Drosophila melanogaster: one gene and its partners. The protein of the gene in region 2 interacts with the protein of the main gene of each other region in a pairwise test. Each region holds a gene or a part of one and is shown on either strand. Other genes may lie near its edges.

Region 1 (4,908 bases), on a different chromosome or scaffold from region 2:
GTTGGTGTCTGGTCTTGTATAACAGTTATGAGGCCACATGCCAGCACACACGTTTGCAGACATGCCCTCTCACATACATTCCTACAAACATATGGATATACAGACATACATACGTTCGTAAGCCTGTATGTTCACATGCACTCTCACTTGTAGTTGGAAACGCTCTACTCGTTGTTGTTGCAATTACGGACGAGCCTCTTTGGAAAAAATGCTGGAAAACAAAAAAGATCACAAGACATAAACAACAATGCAAAAACGCAGCACCGAATGGAAATTGCACATGAAATCTAGCTGCAAAAATATGAAACAACAAAATTCCATTGAATGGAGAGCCAGAAAGAGCGAAGTAGAGGGGAAGAGAGTGAGAGAAGGAGGGAGCGGAACTTCAAACTGGGCGGCACGTACACACACAAAAGAGGGCAGGGCGGGGAGACGAGCCCCACGGACACTGAACAAAAATACATACAAATGCAAAGATATATGTATTTGAGGATGTTGACGCGTCGCTAGAACTTGAGAATTCCAAGAAGCGGTAAAAACGGGTGAGACGATGATGGTAGGGGAGTTGGGGAGGGGAAGGTAGCTGTCAACAGCTACGCAAACTTGCTCTCCCATTTTTCTGGGTAAACCTTGCTCTTTCTCATCTAAAACGGCATTGTTATACTAACACCGATGCCGAGGGAGAGCGAGATCGCTGAGAGTGGGAAAGCGGGTGGTGGGGCCCGGCGCCGAACAGGGGGTTCAAAGAACGAAGCCAATACGCAGGCAGCAACGAAAAATCCTATTGGCTACTTTTAAATGCGCTACCGACATTAAATGGATATAAATACATGTGTCTCTATCAAATAAAAAAATTTTGCGTACTAACTGGCGACCCACAATGGTAAATATAGTACAGGTGCTTACCTGTACCTGTGGTCTTACTTTTGACCTTCTTCCTTACACAATTTATAATAAAGGCAGTCTACATGTTTAGCTTGAGCTTAATACAAAAGAGATAATTTATTGGGCCTAGGTGGCGTATGAGTAATAAACGTATACTGAATATTTTCTAATAACTTGTTTGCAAAATCAGAAAACTGTTTTTTCTTATATATTTATATAATATATAATACATTTCTGTGCCACAGAAATTCCATTGCACCCCACAGTTTGTAGGGTGTCAATATCAGCCAAATTGCTGACGACGACAAAAGGCGGCTCTCTCATAAGCGGAAGCAAAAAGAGAGAGCGTCGCCGCCAGGCCCTTGTAGTTCCGCGTTTATGGCACGATAAGAACGAGATATTTCTTAAAAATGTTGTAAATTAGTTAGTTAATAGCGTAATTAATATCAAAACAAATTTAACACAGTGATAATAGGCGACCAATTTAATTTGTCAAAGAAATGCAAAACCATTAACCATTAACATTAATTAAACCATTAACATCTTAAGAAAATAATTTTTTTCCTTGAAGAGAAAAGCCTGAAATATATTGACTATATTTGAGATGACAAATTAAAATGTTTATCAAATGCGTGATCACGATATTGCTTACGCGACGCATAAGGGTTTCCGCATAAACACGCGTTTGACTCATTCTCATTCATAGCCACTCTCTCGCCCCCTCTCTCACGCGCACCCTATCAATATGCCATTTGTGGACCCCTCAGCGTCGCACATATACACGCCATATCTCCAACCATGCCGCCCCAAAACCGATTTTCAGTTTTTGACCTTCAAGGTTCCTTCACGGCGAGCGAGAGAGAGAGAGAGTGAGAGTGTGAGCGCGGCTCGCAGTCGCGGTCGGCGCCGGCAGCGCAGCAGCAGCGACAGCGAAAAGTGAGCACCAGTCGGCGAGTGAATTTAATTTCGTAAAAAACGTTCCGAGCGTTTGGACGCGTGCAGCGGACGAAAATAAAACACGGCGAGAGCGAGAATCGTGTGTGTGGACACTCAAAGACTCAAAATTGAAACCAACTCGAAAAGGTTGCACTGCAAATGCCCAAGTAGAAAAGCCAACGCGAGTGTGCACATCGAATACGAAAATTGTAAACGTTTTTTTTTTGCCGTGTGAGTGCAAGCGCATAAGATCGAAGAAAAACAGCCAGAGCAAGAAAGAACCGAAAAAAGGCAGAGAGAATCAAAAAAGAAAAAAGGAAAAAAAAAACAAGCAGGAAAACACCAACATAATAATGGATCGGGAGCTGAACGGGGCGATGAAGAGCGTGTCCATAAATAGCGCCCAACTGAATGGTCACAATAACGGTGGCGGGCTAGATGAAACGGACCGCGTGGGCGTGGCACAGGGGGCGGCACTGAGTGCAACAGAGAAAATTACAACAACGACGGCGGCAGCTACAAAATCAGCGACAGCGACCACAAATGCAACCACAGCAACAGCCACAACCACAAATCTTACAACTCACAGCCCGCAGCAAATTGCACTCTTATCCGCTGCAGAGAAAAGTAAGATGGTGCACGAGTTATGTCAGCAGCTGCTTCTAACGGACGAACAGGTGCAGGAGCTGTGCTACCGCATCCTGCACGAGCTGCGCCGCGGCCTGGCCAAGGATACACATCCCAAGGCGAATGTCAAGTGCTTCGTAACGTATGTGCAGGATCTGCCCAATGGCAATGAGCGTGGCAAGTTCTTGGCCTTGGATCTGGGTGGCACCAACTTCCGGGTGCTGCTCATCCATCTGCAGGAGAACAACGATTTTCAAATGGAGTCCCGCATCTATGCCATACCGCAGCACATTATGATTGGATCGGGTACACAGCTATTCGATCACATCGCCGAATGTCTGTCCAACTTTATGGCCGAGCACAATGTGTACAAGGAGCGTTTGCCACTCGGTTTCACCTTCTCGTTCCCGCTGCGCCAATTGGGTCTGACCAAGGGCCTGCTGGAGACCTGGACCAAGGGCTTCAACTGCGCTGGCGTCGTCAACGAGGATGTTGTCCAGTTGCTAAAGGATGCCATCGCACGGCGCGGCGATGTCCAGATCGATGTGTGTGCCATACTCAATGACACCACTGGCACGCTGATGAGCTGCGCCTGGAAGAATCACAACTGCAAGATCGGTCTGATTGTCGGCACCGGTGCAAATGCCTGCTATATGGAGCGTGTGGAGGAGGCGGAGCTCTTCGCCGCCGAGGATCCGCGCAAGAAGCACGTCCTGATCAACACGGAATGGGGCGCATTCGGCGACAATGGCGCACTGGACTTTGTGCGCACCGAATTCGATCGGGACATCGATGTGCACAGCATCAATCCGGGCAAGCAGACGTTCGAGAAGATGATATCGGGCATGTATATGGGCGAGCTGGTGCGTCTGGTGCTGGTGAAGATGACCCAGGCGGGTATACTCTTCAATGGACAGGATTCCGAAGTGCTAAACACCCGCGGACTGTTCTTCACCAAGTATGTGAGCGAAATTGAAGCTGACGAGCCAGGCAACTTCACCAATTGCCGCCTGGTGCTGGAGGAGCTCGGTCTGACCAATGCCACCGACGGGGACTGCGCCAATGTGCGGTACATCTGCGAGTGCGTCTCGAAACGGGCTGCCCACCTGGTGTCCGCCGGCATTGCCACGCTGATCAACAAAATGGACGAGCCAACGGTGACGGTGGGCGTCGATGGCAGTGTGTACCGCTTCCATCCCAAGTTCCATAACCTGATGGTCGAGAAGATCTCGCAGCTGATCAAGCCGGGCATCACCTTCGATCTGATGCTGTCCGAGGACGGTTCCGGTCGTGGAGCTGCCCTGGTGGCGGCCGTCGCCTGTCGCGAAGACATACTCAATGGCAAGAAGTAGGATGGATAGGGAGCTGGAGCTGGATCAGGAACCAGGAGGAGGAGCCGCTGGAGCAGCTGGAGCAGTCCTAAGAGATACAGCAACACACCCACACAACCACAAAAACAGCAGAGCAAATGAGAAATACCTAGTAAACGGCCACGGTGGCGTATGCGTAATAATTACAGTAGAGCCACGCTAACTCACAAAAGCCCTATAGCCAAACGATATGAAAAAATGAAGCTGCCACGACGAAAAGTAATCGAAAAGCCCACGAAAAACTTATATGTGCATACGTAGGGCATTTGTGAGTTGGCGCGACTTGGCTTTAGTATTTTAATTAGGCAAAAACCAGGTTTTTCACTACAAACACAAGCGTAACAGAAACCCCCCCACTAAGAGACAGAAGATCTGTGGCATTCTATCTCTTTCTCTCCTAGTAAAAGAAAACAAAGAAGAAGAAAAAACACTATGCTTAATGATTATGGATCGATTTTCGATTTTTGTTGAAAATTTGTTATGCTATTATATATATATATATTTTACAAGAAAACATAATATACACACACTAAAAACATAATGTATATGTTTGCGTATATATAGTACAATTTGTGAAGCGAATTTCTTTTCGATTTCGATTGAAACAACAAATTTTTTTTGGTAATTCCCTGCCCAAAAGACCCCTGAAACCCCCCTAAAAAAACGGAGATACTTAAGAGCAAGTGAGAAAAGAAACTGTTATACTACTGTGCTACAAGCATTCTAGCATATCCTGCAGGACAACGGAAAGAGAAACTGTAAAACCGCACATTGTTAAAGCAAAAACGAAAACGAAAAAAGCAACAAAAAACAAGCCGCTAGAGAAGAGACAGAAACAGAGGGATAGAAAGGAAGAGAGCGAGAGAGAGCGAGCGAGAGAAAGAGAGAGAGGATTACTAGGTAATGCTACGGTGTCCTTTCTGTAATTGTAAATGTTTATATAGAACCTATTACGAAGCGTTATATGATAATACTGCATACATATATATAAATATAAATATGATATATTTAGCCACTATATTACTGATTTTTTTTTTTGTAATGTATTGCTTGTCTTTGTTTAGTGAATTTGTTTGTTGTTAACACTTAA
Region 2 (3,952 bases):
TTTATGGAAGCCAACTCATCCGTATTCTTATCCTGTGGCTCGGGATCGAAGATAAAATCCATGCGATCATTCAGCTGTAGCACTGGCGACAAGTTGGACAACTCATCCGGACAATCATCCAGCCATTGCTCCGCCAGGCTCTCGAACGCCTCCTCCTCCTTTTCCACCTGCCTTAGCTGAAGTTCAAGGAGCTCCTGGGCCTCGATGCAAACGCGGCGGAAATCGATGGCAATCTGCAGGTCGTGCTGGCAGTCCTGGCACATGAACCTGGGCAACTTGCCGTCCTCTTTTAGCTGCAAAGTGATTACAGATCGCGGCATTTATTCGGTTTTTATTTTCGCAAAACGCTAACGCACTCACCTGCAAGTTAGTTAGAGTCTCTATTTGACGCAAAACGGAAGAACTCGATGGATCGAAGAGATTCTTGGCTACCGCAGGATCAGCCATACGAGAACAGGTCCTGCAAATGTACCTCATGGCTTGTGTAATGAGATAACGCAGCACCCCGATCGATTGGAAGTGTATCTTTTTCGGTTTGTTTGGACGGAAGAACAAGAAAAGCGGCATTCGCATTTCTCAGCCCCACGCATAGTCGATTTCGAATTGACATTCGCCCAGCAACGCGGCCATTCCGCCGATTTTCAAAATCTCAATTTGTTGTTACAAGTTTTTTTCAAGAAATAAACCATTGTATCTGCAGAGCGAAAAGTCGAAAACCTTTGATGTCACAGGTGTACATTTTGATTATTTCTTCTTTTAGAACCATCAAATCAAAAATAGAATCAATTTGTTCAATTTAGGAATCTTATAATAAACTTGTACTTTCAGCAGTCCACATGAATTCTAGACAATCCTAGCACTTTCAGCTCTTCGCTGGTGTAATTTAGTGCTTTGATGTAGGGTCAAATGGGATGAGCGCAGGAACCACTGGTCACAGATCTCGCAGCTGGAAAATACAGTCAGTTTGCACATATTTTACGGAGGACAGCTAGTGCTCCTACTTACTGGTACTTCCGCTGATTAGTGTGCAGCATCTCATGTTTTTGACGCGTCGACGTGGAGGTGAAGGCCTTGTCGCAATGCTGGCACTGAAAGGGACGCTCGTTGGTGTGGGTCCGCTCGTGGACCACTTTACTGCTGCATCCTCGGTAGGTCTTGCTACAGAACCGACAAGCGTACGGTCTGGCGTCCGTGTGAAGGATTCTGTGGCGCCGCATCTCGTTATCCGTGTAGTACTTGGCCTGGCAGATGTCGCACGCGAACGGTTTGTGACCGCTGTGTCGCTGCAGGTGCAGTTTGAGGTAGGTAGAGGACTTGAAGACGCCGCCGCACTGGTCACAGAACCAGGACTTGGAGTTGCGCTTCGTACGCTTGGGGACACGGGCACTTACTCCCTTCGAGATGATGGACATGTTATGGAGCTGCTCTTGACAGTGCTCCACCTCCTCTGTTTGTACTTGTACTTGTTCCTCCTGATTCTTCTCATTCTGAGTCGCATCTTCTGCGTCCTTCGCCTTCTCATTATCATTGTGATCTTCCCGCAGAAGCCCAGCTGTATCTGCCATTGCTACACACATTTCCTGATCCGTGTGGTCCCACAAATCCTGCTGTAGCTTCTCAACATCCGGTTTATCGAGTTCCTCATCAACTATCGCCTTTTTTCGCAAAAGTTTCCTGTTAGCGGCCATAAAAGACTTGTGGACCTCCAAGCACTTATTGCGAAATGTTAAGATCCTGTCCAGCTGCACTTTGCAACATTGGCAAATTAGATGTGGCAGAGTGGTGTCAAATTCGAGCTAAACAATCATTTAAATCAATTAAATAGACAGCATACTTTAGTTTTATTCACTTACATACATACATATCGGTGATATTTTCCAGTATACTAATAAAGTGATAGTTGCTTTTGTTGAACAGTTTGGTAGCCCGACCCTGCAAATTGGTCACATTTTTGCCACAAGTTCGGCAAATCGATCGCAACTCAGACATTTTGAGCAAACCAAACGATATTTAAAAAGGTTTTTTAAAACTCAACATTATTGTGATGCATTACATTCAAGTGAATGGCAAGCGAGATAATGAAGATGCACATCAGCTGTTGTCTGTTTACTAAGTGCATGTGCGTGGTGTGTACACACTGGCTAAACGATATTTGAACAATTCAAAACAAAAATATAAAATTGTATTATTTTTTTTTTTTTTGAAAAAGCATAGACGCATCCAATACTTTTCTTTCATTTTAAACAACAATTTGGTTGAAATCGGCATCTTTTAAGAAATCTAACTTTTATTCGTTTCAGAACTAAAATCTTAATCAGACTTCTTTGCTCTCGACTTAATGTTATATATAAAATTCGTTGAGCCTTGCATTAAGTGCACGCTTATGCTGATATATGGCTTTGCCTGGCTGCATGATCACTAGGTGATACCTACTCCTTAATTCCCATTCTGCAGACCGGACAGTGGCGGCCACCATTAGCCTGGTACTGGTGGAGGCACTTCTCATGCAAGGCGTGGCTGCAGCGCAGATACACCATGGTGTAAACACTTAGGGGATCTAAACAAATCGTGCACAAGTCACCGGCTATATTGACATTAACCACCTTATCGCACTCGAGGCACTTTCTATGGGAATAGCGAAACACCAAGTAGCAGAGATTGTGCATGGCATGTCCACACCTCATGCGGCGCCGGTCGTCATCACTCAGTTCATACTGGCAAAAGGTGCACCTGCCATTCGGCGACCTGCAATGAAACAAGGGATTTAAGCCAACATTTTAGCTTTGAATCGCAAGGCACCAACCTGCCCACGATTCGACGCTCATTTAATAGCACCCACCTGGAGTAAGGCGAACTGCGGTCGTTATGCCAATTGAAATAGGCGAAAGCGGCAACGGACACCAGGCCCAAGCCTATTATTAGATTCACGTAGACCATTTTCCGCTGGCTATTGGCCTAAGTAACGTGGAAATAGAAATAAGTAGAGATTTTCCATGAAATCCCCAAAAATTAAATCAAATTTCCACTTTAGTGGGACCGCAACTGGTCGGCACTGAAAATCCAAATAGAATTGCTTGGCCACATCAACTGGCCTATTGATCATGATCAAGAATATATATGAAAATGAATTAAAAATTAATGCTGGTGCCGCAGAGGAGAGTCCTCGCAGCAGTCACTGTCCCGCCAAACCACGTCCCACCGACTTGACCTGCAGGACAGGACTTCCCCGTGTTCCAAACTCCACCGTTCCGCCTTTAAAATACCGTGTCGCACAGCCGGTATCCAAGCAGTCCAAGTGTGGCATTTAACCACCTACTCGCGCACAGTCACACCGATTTTCAGTTCGTGAACACAGTTTGATGAACTTTATGCGGAATTTTAGGGATTTGAGAATTTTGACGAGTCCAGGCAGGGGTTACTAAAGTCTCGACTCGCCCAGCGTGCGCCATCGATTTCGGCGTGGAAATCGAAGTGAAACCTCCAGCGCCGTTGCCCGAGAAACACACACACAGACACCTAATCGGGCACACCCCCACACAAAACGGGCAGACAGGAGGATTTTCCGCTGGCAATTACTCGGTGAGACGGGCGGTTAACTTAACGACGGCCATAGCTATGACGGACCGCGAGCGCAGCATTCACGAAATGCTGAAGGATGCGCCCTCGCTGAACGACAGCTGCGGAGCGGTGCACACGGGCACCGAAGGCGGCAGCGGGATCCTTGGAAGCGCCAGCAGCCACAGCATCGCCGGCGGAGGAGGTGGTGGCGGCAACGTTGGAGTTGGTGTCGGCGGCCCCTTTGGCGCCCCCAGCAGCCTGCCACTAAGAAACCATTCAGGTGAACTATTTACGAGTCCTCGATTTAGCGACCAACTGACTCAGCATCGATCTTTTCGTGCAGCACCCACCACACCCATGTCGCCCAGTAGTCCACCATCCGGTAACGGCATCC
Region 3 (7,996 bases), on a different chromosome or scaffold from region 2:
GGTCTGCGTCTTGCCCAGGCATCGTTGGCCAGCTGCCAGTCGAGGTTCTCTTTGGCACGTTGCTGGTGATGCGGCTGCATGCTGTAGGCATTGGAACCACCACCACCACCAACGCCGCCACCGCCTCCTCCTCCCATATCGTGATACCTGGGCGTGCTGCCCGTTCCGGAACTGCTGCCGTAGTGATGCCTCTGACTGCTCGATGATTGCGAGCTGGGACTGGGCACATTGTGACCATAGCGAGGCGTCTGTGAGGCATGCGGCGTGTAGGGCGTCATGAACGGAGTCTGTCCACTGGGCGTGTATGGCGTATTGATGGCGCCAAACGACGGCGTCGATGAGCTGCCATAGTGGGAGGAAGATACTCCAGCCCCTGGAGCAGAACTGCCCGACGTGCCGTAGCCAGTGATGGATTGCGTAATGGAGTAGGCGCTGGAACCGCCACCGCCGACGGCACTGCTGATGCCACTGCGCGGCGTTCCACCAGTCACGCTGCCAGTGACGCTGTAGGGCGCCTGGGGGCCCAAGGAGGTCTGGGATGACGACGAGATCGTCGGCGGCGGACGCATCAAGTGCAGTGGCGTTAAGTTGGACGCCGAGGCGCTGGCCGGCGTGGCCGTTGGATCCAGCCAGTGTTCCTTAAACCAACGCAGCAGACTGTTAACCGTATCGAAAATCTGGCCACGGAAACGATAGCCCTCCGGCATGACCGTCACATACTCGTGACGCACCTTCGTCTTGGGCAGATAGGACAGCAGGAACTTGCCCGGCATGGCGCGTGAGGCCGTAAAAAAGTAGTGTATCTTCTTCGGATCATTTGCCTTCTCCTCGCGCAGCAACTTTTCCATGACATCCCGTTCATTTTCATCGCCGGTCACCATGTTTGGCTTGTAGTACTTGTACTGTATCAGTTCGCGGGCAGCCAAGGCCATCGGCATGATGTGGCGGGCGATGATCTCGTCCAGATCCTCGAACTCCTCGGTGCCGATCCACAGACTTCTGCCCAGGCTGAAATCGTTCTCTTTACCCTCCTCGCGCACATCGATGTGCTGGAAGATGTCGTCGGCCACCTTCCAGGTGGCTGTCAGATGGTCCTTGGACTTGCTGCTCGGACGCAGGGCCACCTCGCCCTGATCGGCCTCCGCTAGCATGGCCACCACCTCCGCGTACGACTTGTTGAAGAAGCTGGGATGGGCGATTACGCGACGCGCGTAAATTTTGCGCTTCAGAGCCCTGGCCTTGGCATCGCTCACTTTCCGATTGTCCTGCTCCTCAGTCACATAATCATAGTAGTTGTCGCGACGCGGCCGCCACTCATTGTTCACATCCTTAAGATCAGCGGTCCTCGAAGAGCATTCGACTGAGAACCGGTCAATGTCTATCTTAATGATGCGAACATGAATCATCTGTGAGACGCGCACACGTTCTTCGGGATTGCGAACCTGTCTATCGGACAAGTTCTTGATGTGTATAAAGCCAGGCAGGCCGTTCTCCAGACGCACACGCACACCAGATGGCTGGCCAGGGCACGCGTTCGCGTCAAAGTGATTCCACACCTCGGACAGCTCTGGGAAGTCGTCCTTGTGGCAGAAGGGGCACTGCCAGCTTTCGTTGGAATCTAGACGCACCGGATTTGCGCTGTCTAGCTGATCGCCCTGCGGCCGACGGTAGGTGAAACCGGTGACCATGGCCGTGACGCACTTGCCCACATAAAACGAGTCGGGCGTCTCCTTGGTCAGCATATCGAAGAGCTCCTCCGCACTGGGCTTTGTGTACGGAGTGCGGTAGTCCTTGTACAGGCAGCTCAACTCGTTCCTTATGTCGTACAAGGTTATGCTCTTGCTGCCGAATCCCTGGCGCTCCAGTTCCACAGCGAATGCGTCCAGATCGAGATCCTTAAGGCGCTCTGGCGACTCGAGAATTTCCTCAAGGGCACCGGCCGGATTGGTCTCCTCGTCGTCGTACTCCATGGCATCGATGGCCATCTTTCTGGCCCACTCGTACGTTTCTGGATGCACACGCGACCCGTCCAGCACCTCGACATACGCCTCTGTGCTGTCGCCCAGCGATGAGGTATCGATCTTAATGAAACCGCTGCAGTTGATAAAGACCCTGGGCCCCAGATGACACACGGTGACCAGCTGGGTGCGGTTCTCCAACCGCTGGTTGCTCTGCTTAAGAAGTTTAAGTAAAGCCTGACCCTTGCGCGGACCCAAGCCACAGATGTACTGCAGCAGGTTGATGGTCCGTGAGTTCTGCACCATCAGGTTAATGTCCAGACCCACCTCGCTCGTTCGATTGATAAACTGCAGGCTGAGCTGCTCCAGCAGCTGTTCGCGCGGCACACGCTCCTGTAGCGGATGGTAGCGCAGGCAGAGAATCTCGTCGTCCGCATCACACAGCTGTGAGTATTCCACTAGCGGATCCTGCATCTTGCGGGCCAGCGAAGCAGCCTGCTTCAGCAGAGGAGGATACTCCTTAAAGTCAGACTCGCCCTTCTTCGAGTTGGCATAGATCTTGGCCAGCTCGTTGTCGATTATCTCCACCTCGATGGGCGGAAATTGTTCGGAGGTCTCGAGTTCATGCAGAATCTCCTTAATGTCTGCCTGGATGTTCTGGGCATCGCGCGATTCCGCTCCGATGACAACAATGTGTGGCTTCTTCATTTTGATAAAGTCACTCAGCTTTCGAAGGTCGGCCAACTTCTGGGCCTTCTCCTCAAGGTTGTAAGAATTCTTGCGCTTCAGAATGTTCGGCAGTCGCAGGTAGTCGGAGATGTCGCCCTCCACGGTAGTCACCGCACAGAAAGCGGCCACTGAGTGATCGGGATCGTAGGCCAGACCCAGCACCCGTATGCCCCTCAGCGTGCTCCACTCCTCGTAGCCAAAGTCGGGGGGCAGTTGCGGTTTATAGGGTGCCACCTTTAGCCACTTATACAGCTTACCCGTGCAGGAACGCAGCACAAATTGCTGAGCCTCCTCGTGCAGAGTTGAGCGCAGCTCCTTGATCAGATCCGGAATGACCCACTTCTGCAGCGCCAGCTGTACGCATTCCGCCCGCAGCTTATTCCACTCCTGCACGTGCTTGGCAAACTGATCCAGCTGGTACAGGGCCTTGGACTCTTCCACATAGTCACCGGGTGTTCCGTTGGCACACGCATTGCCCTCGAACTCCTCGAGGAACGTTATCTCCAGCAGCTTCTCCTCCTCGGCCATCATTAGCTTTATGAATTGATCGCCAAATAGATCGCTTACCGGCTTCTTGGCCACGTACTTCATCGAATACACCGGCGAATTCTCATCGATCAGCACCATGCCATTCTTGGTGGGCCGTATGTTAATCCTAGCTCTGTCGAAATACACCTCACGCATGGTCTTGCGCAGCAGAGGCTCTTGTGCCAGCTGTCGGGCCACAACGTATTTTGCGGCATGGATAACCTCATCCGTGGTCATGAAGCGCGGCGACAAATATTGCTTGGCCAGCTCTGTGGGACCGATGCTTTCCTGGGTGATCTCATTGCGCTGGTAATTGTCGCGCAGATTTTCGGCATACTGCTCCGGCGTGAGACCAAAGTGTTTGGCAAAGCCGCAGATGCCCGCCTTGCGGAATACCGCATAGGGACTGCTGTTGGACGCCTGCTTTAGTTGGTAATCGATCAGCTCGGGATCGTCATCGTCTTCCGGCTCTGGTACAACTATCGCCTCGGCCGCATCATCACCGTTCTCAGCGGCGGCTGCCTGGCGACGCGCCTTGGCCTCGCGACGCTCCTGTATAGCTTTTCGTCGCTGCTCCGCCTGCATGCGGGGCAGCTCATGCGAATAGTTCAGCAGAAAGTACATGTGCACGTCCTTTAGCTCCTCCATCGACTGTACGTCGGCGAGGCGCTCGAAATCGCTGTCCAGGATGAGGCGAACATCATCCGGTACGGGTTGATCTGTGTCGGCGCATAGCGTGTCCAGCTGGAACTGACGCATCTTTTCGAAAAGCACCTTTAGCTTGCGCTTTCGCTCGTTTAGCTGACACCAGATCCCATCGTAGTAGTAAACCTTCCAGAGATCGTCGATATTAAGCTCTGGCTTCACATACTCCTTGCGATAGAAGGCTATAAAGGGCACCTCCAACTGCTGGTTGCGTATAAATTCTAGCGTCTGCTTAATCTTGTTAACGGTTGTCGGTGGTTTGCGCATTTTCTCGCGGCTCTCCGGCTTTTCCTGTTCCGAAACAGTGTGCTTGCAGAAGGCATATTTGTAGATCCATTCAGCCTCGAGGTCCAGCTCGTCTGATCCCTCGGGCACCGGGGTTACGGGCACCTCTCGCAGCTGCATTCTTTCTGGGATGTCTGTCTTGCGAATCTCGTTGTCCATATCGGTGAAATGACCACGCTTGAGCTCGCTGGGCTCGTATATGTCGAAGATTGTCTTCTTGACCACCTTCTTTTTGAGCGCTTTCTTCTTCTTGACGCGCGTATCATCGCCGACGCCCAGATCCTCATCGTACTCATCTCCTTCCGAGTCATCTTCGTAGTCGTCTTCCTCGTACTTTGAGAAGTCGTCATAGTCGAAGTCTACGCCAAAGATGTCCTGACCCTCTTGAAGTGATCTGTGGTTGGATTATATTAATCGTATCTATTGATATCTAAACTTTATTATAGTTTGTATACTTACGCGTCTGTAAAGATGGGGCGCCGTTTCTTCTTCTTCTCGGCTATGGGACGCCCATTATCGTCCACAATGAAGTCATCTGCGTCCGACTCCGTATCCACGTCGTCGTAGTCGTCCGCCTCCCTGTGACTGCGCTCGCTGCGATGACCAATGCTCTGTAGGATCAGGGGCAATCAGTTGGACACTGTGCATTAATTGGTGGTCAGGGATTACTAGTGGCATACCTCATCGTTCTCGTCGAACAACTGCTCGGCAATCTGCTCACGCACCAGACCCTCGTCCACGTGCTGCTCCTCGCCATCGCTTTCGTTGTCGTGGATGCGACGCAGACGCTTGAACCGCTTCTACAAGGGAAAACATAATTTCAAACAATATATTTGAGGAGATAGAAGCCCCAATCCCTCAGCTATGTTATTCTTTGTTAGTTAAGCTTCGAAATTGGAGCCACAATTGGAGTTTAAAAAGTACATAGTTCTTCCCTGAAGGGAACACCTACCCGTCTCTCGACTTTGACGCCCAGATTCTCCTCGATAAGATCGTAGTCGTCGTCCTCCAGTCGATCGTCCAGATCGTCGTCCTCGTGCTTTTTGCGCTTCTTGCCGCTGCCGACGCCATCGGAATCGTAACCACTGCCATCGTCCTCCTCGATGGGATTGTCGTCGATCAGATCTTTGAGCTCTTCGCGCAGCCGTTCCTCGTCGTCTACGGAATAGGGCAATAAGAATATCGGTTTACCTTTTACCTTCATTGTAGCCGCAGATATACATATGCAACTGAAAACTGTTTTTAAAGCTTAAATTTAAGTAATTCACCCGGTTTTGAGAAAGACCTACATTTGATAAATTACCTAGATTTCGATATAGATAAGCCCTAACCATTGATTATTCCAGCTCCATCTATTGAACTAATTCTCCCTCCCTGCTTTGATTTGCAATTTCTTGGAATACGCCGCGTTCTTCCAATTCGCCGCACTTGTTTTATTTACTGGAACGAGCGCAGCTGTTTGTTGTTGTTGCTGCTGCTATTGCTACTGCTGATGCTGATATTTGATGGCCACGGTAGCACGGTAAAAACACAAGACCTAACCTCAAAGTTGTAAACAAAAGAAGTTGCAAGCGTGTGGCATTGGCCAGTTATAGGTGCCTTTATCCCGGATATGGACTGTTCCGATCGATGGATGGTGAGAGGGGTGAAAAACCCGCCAGAGATCGCCACATACGTATGTATGTATGTATGTATTTGTACGCGCCTTCAGCGGCTCCAGTGGAAAAACTCACCTTCTTCTTCTTCGCTACTATCGGAGACGGCCGCCTTCAGTTTCTTGAGTCTCTTGCGCTCGTTGACGTCCAATTCTTCCTCCTCCTGCGGGAAAAACGAAGAAAAGCCATTTGGTTAATTCAATATATATGTAGGCACATATGTATGTACACACACGCAAGGCGCAACGCACACCGCACACATAACGACGCACGAACGGTACGCGCTTCTAGAAATAGTGTTTTTGGGGTTCCGCAGACACCTACCTCCGATTCCTCGGCCTCGGAGTCCAGAAATTCGGCCATAATATAATGGAATAAAGCTTAACTTAATAATAAAGTGCGTATTAATGCAGAGAAACGAAGAGTTTGTGAGCGTTTCTTCCTCTTCTCTTCTTCTTTATTTCTCATCGCATTGCACAAAAGTTGGTATTAAAATACTAGCTAAATACTAAATACCACGAACAGTTTTCTACTGTTTACAGTACAGTTTGCTGTTAGCTTACAGCAGTGTTCTCGCTGCCAGCCCTGGTTTGCATTGCAGAACTACAGTGGATCCTTCCTATAACCTATGGTTAGTTATCCGTTTTCATGTGCTGACAACAATTGGACAAGAATTTTGCACACATACTTGTATTGATAAGCGGGAAAATTCCCCTATATGGGAACACACATATGCCCTTTGGTCTCAACGATGAAGTTTGCTAATTTCCATTATAGTCCATGGCATACTTCCTTTACATAGTTGACTTTTATGAGTTCTTACCGAAAAACCAACACTAATTGTAGCGCATAATAATTTCTCTCAAAAACTAGTGGTAAACGTAATGAACAATAATAATAATAAGCAATAAACAAAATTCGCAAACTTGTGAATTAAAAGTTCTTTAAAATTATTAGTGCATTTGGTATTTTGTGTAGCTTCTAAAGCCTTATTTTTGCTGGCTTTCCTTGTCTTCCCGTACACGGGCACACTTGTCGCGCTGCAGTTACATTTACTGCTCCGCCGTCTCTGGGCACACTGTATTGTTGTTGCTCGACGAGGAAATACTATTAGTATTTTTTTTCGTTCATCCTGAAAGTTTAAGTGGACGAAACGAGCGGCGGCCGACTCGACACCGAGCCGAAATTCAGAAAGTCTATTGCTTTGGTCGAGAACAGATTGTCAGGGAACTTCACTTCATTTACGCTCCCAAACAAACGGCAAAGGTAGCATTTCCAAAAACGAATTAAATCGAAATCCAAATAGAAATAGAAGTAGAATTAGAAAAGCCATAAGCGCAAGTTAACGAGACAAGACAACAACAATTCGATTCGGCGGTTTTTGTTTTTTTGCCAGTGTGTGTTTGTGCTACGCTGTGAGTGTGCATTAGTGTCCGGTGCTCCTGTTGTTGTTCTTGTTGCTGTTGTTGTCGCTTATTGTTGTTCTTGCTGTTATTGTTGCTGTTGTTCGCAAGGCACAATAACACAGGCTCATACAATTGCGAATATTTAGAAAAAGCAAAGCATATACATATGTGACAACAAACGCCAAGGAAAAACTGGAAAGCTAAGCAAAGGAAAACCAAGAAAAAGAAAACAAACAATTGAGAAATTAAGAAGCGGCAACTGAAGCAGCAACATGGACATATTGAATGAGTTCAGCAATGTATTCTGGAGTACGCACATTTGGCTGCCGCCGAACACAACCTGGGCGGACATTGCGCCCGGCTCGCGTCCAGATGTGGTGCACGCCAACTACAAGGACCTCATATGGCCCATTCCATTCGCCGCTGTTGTCATGCTGGTCCGCTACACGCTGGAGCGGTAAGTTTTCCACGTCCATTTTCCCCCCTCCGCACTCTTCCCAACCAACTGACTGACTCCCTTTCCATTCTCGCCATTCCCGGCAACATGATTCCATTCCGCCTCTTTCTCTAACCCCATTCATACGGCTTTCCCTCGCTCTCTCCCGCTCTTTCTCGCTCTCCTTACCATTGAGTAAGCCCACCGCCCCACGTTTGTTGCACCATGTACAGTAAACTTTATTCATAATTCCTTCTTTTCTCCATTTCATTTCATTTTTTTTTTATCGACAAA
Region 4 (5,316 bases), on a different chromosome or scaffold from region 2:
GCCGCTGCCGGCGTCTGTTGCTGTTGCGTCTGCAATATCAGCTGTGTGGCCGGCAACGCCTGTTGCACCACATTCAGCACCGTCATGGGACTCCGGCTGATCACAGCGGCCGCCGGCATTCTCACATAGGTTGCTCCGGCCGTTAGGCCGCCAACAGCATTGCTTATGTAGACAGGTCGTCGTTGCAGCTGCACAAGAGCCGCCTCGGTCACGGGCACCGACAATCGGTGGGTGGTTGTGCTCACAATACTACCGGCGGGCAGTTGTACCAATTGCTGTGATCCTCCGCCGGCTGTTGCGGCGCCACCAGCGGCACTACTCGTCGCTGCTCCAGCTGTTTGCGTTGCCGCACTAATTTGGTACTCCAGCTGGCCGTGCTGCAGCTCCTCGTCATCGTCCTCATCCTCTTCCTCCTCCTCGTCGGGCATTTCATCATCCTCTTCCAGCTCCAGCTTAACTTGCGTGGACAAATGCGCGGTGGTTTCGGGCTCCTCATCGGCCTCGGCTGCCTGAGCCTCCTCTTCGATATCCTGCAGATTCTCATCGTTCAGCTCGGGATCTTCCTCCTCCTCGTCCTCCTCCTTGATATCGCTGGCGGCTAAAACGGACGAGTTACCCGTGGCCTGGATTATGATGCGGCGTCCGTTTAGCAGATGATGTTGCTGCTGTTGCTGCTGCTGCTGAATGAGCAACTGTTGCTGGTTGTCCAAGTGATTGCTGTTGTTGCTATTGCTACTGCTGCTGTTGCTGCTAAAGGAAGCGCTGTTGTTGGTTGCTGCGGCTGCTGTTGCTGCAGTTGTTGCTGCTACTGCTACGGCAGCTGCGGCTGCTGCTGCGGTCGGTGGGTGGTTGTTGCTGCTGTTGTCCAGCTTCAGATGATGATGCGGATGATGGTGTTGCTGCTGCTGCTGTTGCTGCTGAAGATGCTGCTGCTGTTGCTGCTGATGCGAATGCGAGTGAGGATGATGCTGCGAGTGATGATGGTGATGCACATGCGTATGCTGGTGAGGATCGTCGTCCTGCTCCATGGGAGCATCCTGCAGTATAAATTCGATCTGTTGCGATAGGGCGCTATCGTTAATGGCCATTAATCCGTCCATATCTTTGACACCGGCAGCGGCGCCAACGGCGGGGAAGAGCGATGGCAGCGCCGTCGACGTCCCGCTGCCGCCGTCGACGTTCGTCGCGCTGCTGGCCATGGCAGCGATATACTAATTGATGTATATTTCCCTTATTTGTATCTGCAAATCGTACAAACATTTGGATTAGACTCACATTCGGCCATGGCTGGTGGGCAATAACTTACGTTCTTCTCTTGAGCTGTTGGGGATGCGACGCCTGTGTTTGGCGTAAACCTCCAGCTATGTTGAATATATTGTTAGCCTGAGAAATAGAACAATATTATGAACTCTGCCACAAAATCTAACAAACAAGTTAAGTCCATTCGAGTTTCTGATGTCTTAAAGTACGGGTTATTAAATAAAACTAGATGAAAGCGAAATGCTTTCAGTACTGAGAGGAACAACTATACAAAACTTTGGTGATTAAGTGATAATTTCATCGAAACGAACTAGTTTTTGTTTGGAAAAAGCAGGGCTTGTTGTTACTTACAATTTTTTGTTTGTTTCTTGTCGTTTTGGCTGCCAAAGTTTTCTTTTATGTTACTACTCCCTATTTAAAAATCTTGCCTTTGGGCGTCTGTTGTTTCCTCTTCTACAGAATTTTGTTTGTCGAAGCTGCCATAATTAATAATTGTTGTATATTTTTCAAGTTGCCGCTTCCTCTTCGCCTTCTTCTTCTTCTCATAGATTTGCTGATGGGCTTCTTCTTCTGCTTTAGTTATTACATCTGTTTCTTCCTCCGTTTATTCTGTTCTCTTTCGAATGCCGCTTCTTCCTTGACTCGTATTATTATTACTATTATTCTTCGATTATACGATTGGAAAACACACACACACGCACACACACACACGTTCTTGTATTTTTGTTGTATTTTGTTTTGTTTTTCGTTTGCTCAACGCCTCGCTGTCGGCCTTTCCTTTATGTTCACATTTGGTTTTTTGGGCTGCACAAAAATTTTCCATTTCCTTGTCATGCGGTTTTCTGTGCTTTCCATGCGGCGACGCTGGCGTCGACGTCGCTGCTGGCTGCGCTGCTCCTGGCTGTCGTTGTTGTTTTAGCTTTTGTTGTTTCCTTGCTTGCTTTCCACATTTTAGTTAAAAATGTTTCTGCGCTGTTTTTTGTTGTTTGCTTCACGCACGCACACACACACACAGAAGTCGTTACATTTGCTCCTTTCCTTTTTGTTATTATTATTATTATTGATCTGCTCTCCTCTTTCGCATTTTGTGCAATTTGATTACTAACTGTAAGTGAGATGTAGAAAAATCAGGTAAATTATACACGTTTTTGCTGCTGTTAACAATTAAATGCGTTTTACGAAATCCGATTTTCCACCCACACTCACACACACACACCAGTGCGCGCCTTGGAAATAAAAACAAAAAATTAATTTTAGCTTTTCCCCCCACTCTCTCTCTCACCATCTCTCACACACACACACATTCACAGGTTTTTCACTTTTGCTCCATTTTTCTTTCGGTTTTTTTTGGGGAAGTCTCTCCTCTCCCTTGCTCACACTTTTTGACCTTTTCGATTGTTCTTCTTTTGCCTTTTTCTTTTGCCACTGCTGTTCGTTCCTTTGGTTTTATGTTGCGTTTATTAACTTGCTAATTGTTTAGTTCGTTTTATTGAATTTGTTTGCGTTATTTTTTTGCCATTTCTTTTTCGGTTTCGTTTTTTTTTTTGCAAGGCAGCAACAACAACGAACGACGAGACAATTAGCGGCTGCGCTGCTTCTTCTTCTTCTGCTGCTGCTTGCTCTCCTACTCTGATTCCTATTCTTCTTCTTCTTCGTCCGTGTTTCCCAGCCGATTTTTGCTCCCCCGCGAGTAGTTTTTCTTTGGCTTTCCCCCGTTCGCCTTTTGTTGTTGCCGTTTTCCACACACCCGCTTTACTTTTCACATCCGCAAGCTCGTTTTTCCCTTTCGCGCTGTTCTTCCACACTGTTCAATAATAACAAAAAAATATTTGCTTGTGTGTGAATTTTTGCCTCCCTGGGTCTTACTACGCTCGTGTGTGTGAGTTAGTGTTGCGCAGGGTTGCATTCGGCGGTCAGTGTTGGTAAACGAACGGGCGATGGCGCGCAATTTCGTGCAATATTCAAAAAGTTAATTGGTTTTCGGTTGGCCCGCACACAAAACAACGTTACTTTTATTTCGTTTTTCTTTTTGGTTCTTGTCCTACTCCGTTTCGCCTTTTTTTTTGCCTTTCTTACCCTTTTTAAACACCCACACAACTTCGTTCTCACTCACAACACAAAACCAAAATATACAGCAGGGGTCAATGAAATAGTATTATCAGGTACATCTTACTCAACATCTATTAATTTTTCCTTAAACAGATTATTTTTAAATAAGAAATGAAAAACAACATTTAATTATTATTATTAATTTAATAGGGGCTTAGTACACGCATTTTAAGATCATACTACAAGCGAGCATCTACTTTCAAAAGAAGGCCGTCTTAACGAATTCCCTATTCTCTCGGCCACAACTGTTCCTAAAAGGACTGCCAGAACTTGGAGCCCAAAAAGGGAGCACAAAAAGAGGACGTTGTTGGGCGGGGGAGCAGGGGGAGAGCTGACCTAACAAGCGGAAATACATAGGCACAAAAGAAATACGCCAAAAGGCAGTCGGCGTGAGCGAGAAGGATGGAAAATGGTCGAATTGCGCGAGAGCGAAAGAGGGGACGCTAGCGCGTCATACGTTGCACAGTGGAGCGAAATAGGTGATAATAAAACAACAAACTCATTAATATTACATTTAAAACATTAATTTAGTGCCTATGAGTTCACTGGAGCGTGAAAATTCGAAATTTGTTAGAACACCTAGTCTGCGCGTCCCACTGTGCGATGGGGCCCGCAGCGGGGGGCGACAAAAGGCGTGAGAGGTGGAGAAGCCGTTTTATTTCGACAGTTTCTGAATTGTGCTCTCTCTCACTCACTCACTCTCCTTCTCCATCTTGCTTCTCCCTTTTTTCGAGTGCTGCTCCTGGAAAGATGAGGAGCAAGAGGAAGAAAACATCATCACCTTGGAAGAAAAAAATTTTCAGTGGGAAATAATTCGCTTCGTTTTTTTTTTGGTCTTTTCATTTGGTGGGTAGTGGGTGGTTTTATTGCTCAGTGATTTTTCGCCGGGCGGCGACGGGTGGTGAAGTTTTTGGGGGTTGAAAGCACACACACACACACTAACGCAAACATCAGCAAAATAAAGGGCTAACAAGGGTTAAAAAATATCCGCACAACAAAATAATAGCAGATAAAAAAAAACTAAATGAAATTCACACACAAAGGCAGCTGGAATCCTCTCCCCCACACAACCACACACGCACACTCAAAGAAAAGAGAACTAGTTCTTTTGTTTTTCTCTTTTCGTAACTAGTGGATAACTACTTCCATGCCATACATCCATATATATAAATTTACATATTTATTTAATTGTTTATATTTTTTAGCTGGCGCCGCTCTCTTGCCCTCTCTCCATCACACATTATTCGCACTTCACGCGCACGCACACACACACACTCGCACATGCTCGACACGCACACTCCTTTCGCTTTTCCATCGGTTTTTACTCACACTTAACATCACATTTTCGTTTGTTTGCGGGGTGTGTGCAATGCAGTTGGTTTAGTTTATCAGTGGTTTTAGTTTGTTATGTTTTTTACAGTTGCTTTAATTGCGTTTTATCGCCTTTTTGTTTTGTTTTTTATTTTTTATGAAAGGTTGGTAATGTGACCAAAGCCTGATGCTTAGAGATGGAATAACTAAAGCGATACTGGCAACAGTCACTATCGATACTTTGTAGGTACATCGATACATCGAAAGGAGGTGCAATTGCCAAATATTTAAAACCTAAAACTAAAACTGAAAATACTAAAATACTTACTTGATGTCTGGGCACACTGAAACTGGGTTTTTGAATTTTTACCGGTTTTTTATACACAGAAACACGAAATGCCGCCGTTTTATAGCCGTTTTTCAATTAACCTGAATCAGTCTATTCGAACAATTAAATAACTTGACAATTGACGTTGGCAAAAATGTAAAAGTAATTCGCATTGTAGCTGATGTTATATGAATTTTACAATGCTTGGTTCTGTCATGCGATGAAATAATATCATTTTACATTCATTTAGAATCGACAAAGAACCATTCAAAACAGTATTCTCTTGTTCACTAGCTTATTTTTTCACA

What was found.
Region 1: the proteins of CG31441 (region 2) and Hex-A interact in a two-hybrid assay, tested with the Drosophila melanogaster proteins (one large-scale study listed by BioGRID).
Region 3: the proteins of CG31441 (region 2) and Spt6 interact in a two-hybrid assay, tested with the Drosophila melanogaster proteins (one large-scale study listed by BioGRID).
Region 4: the proteins of CG31441 (region 2) and CG32767 interact in a two-hybrid assay, tested with the Drosophila melanogaster proteins (one large-scale study listed by BioGRID).

The regions. Positions count from the first base shown.
Region 1 is NC_004354.4:9,584,045-9,588,952, forward strand, and holds Hex-A (hexokinase A), read left to right. Parts: upstream 1-1,845; 5' UTR 1,846-2,174; coding exon 2,175-3,800; 3' UTR 3,801-4,357; downstream 4,358-4,908.
Region 2 is NT_033777.3:11,234,394-11,238,345, reverse strand, and holds CG31441 (uncharacterized protein), read right to left. Parts: upstream 2,061-3,952; 5' UTR 1,990-2,060; coding exon 1,858-1,989; coding exon of another isoform or gene 1,854-1,857; intron 1,797-1,853; coding exon 1,006-1,796; intron 947-1,005; coding exon 844-946; 3' UTR 722-843; downstream 1-721. Other genes in the region: CG31388 (uncharacterized protein), read right to left, coding at 1-293, 361-477; CG17721 (uncharacterized protein), read right to left, coding at 2,430-2,745, 2,804-2,937; Arfip (arfaptin), read left to right, coding at 3,616-3,838, 3,902-3,952.
Region 3 is NC_004354.4:6,266,134-6,274,129, reverse strand, and holds the start of Spt6 (Spt6), read right to left. Parts: upstream 6,334-7,996; 5' UTR 6,224-6,333; coding exon 6,185-6,223; intron 6,024-6,184; coding exon 5,939-6,023; intron 5,364-5,938; coding exon 5,158-5,363; intron 5,006-5,157; coding exon 4,886-5,005; intron 4,817-4,885; coding exon 4,665-4,816; intron 4,600-4,664; coding exon 1-4,599. Other genes in the region: schlank, read left to right, coding at 7,539-7,723. UniProt on the Drosophila melanogaster protein: Histone H3-H4 chaperone that plays a role in maintenance of chromatin structure during RNA polymerase II transcription elongation.
Region 4 is NC_004354.4:5,079,875-5,085,190, forward strand, and holds the start of CG32767 (uncharacterized protein), read right to left. Parts: upstream 3,152-5,316; 5' UTR 2,543-3,151; intron 2,366-2,542; 5' UTR 1,612-2,365; intron 1,384-1,611; 5' UTR 1,307-1,383; intron 1,242-1,306; 5' UTR 1,200-1,241; coding exon 1-1,199.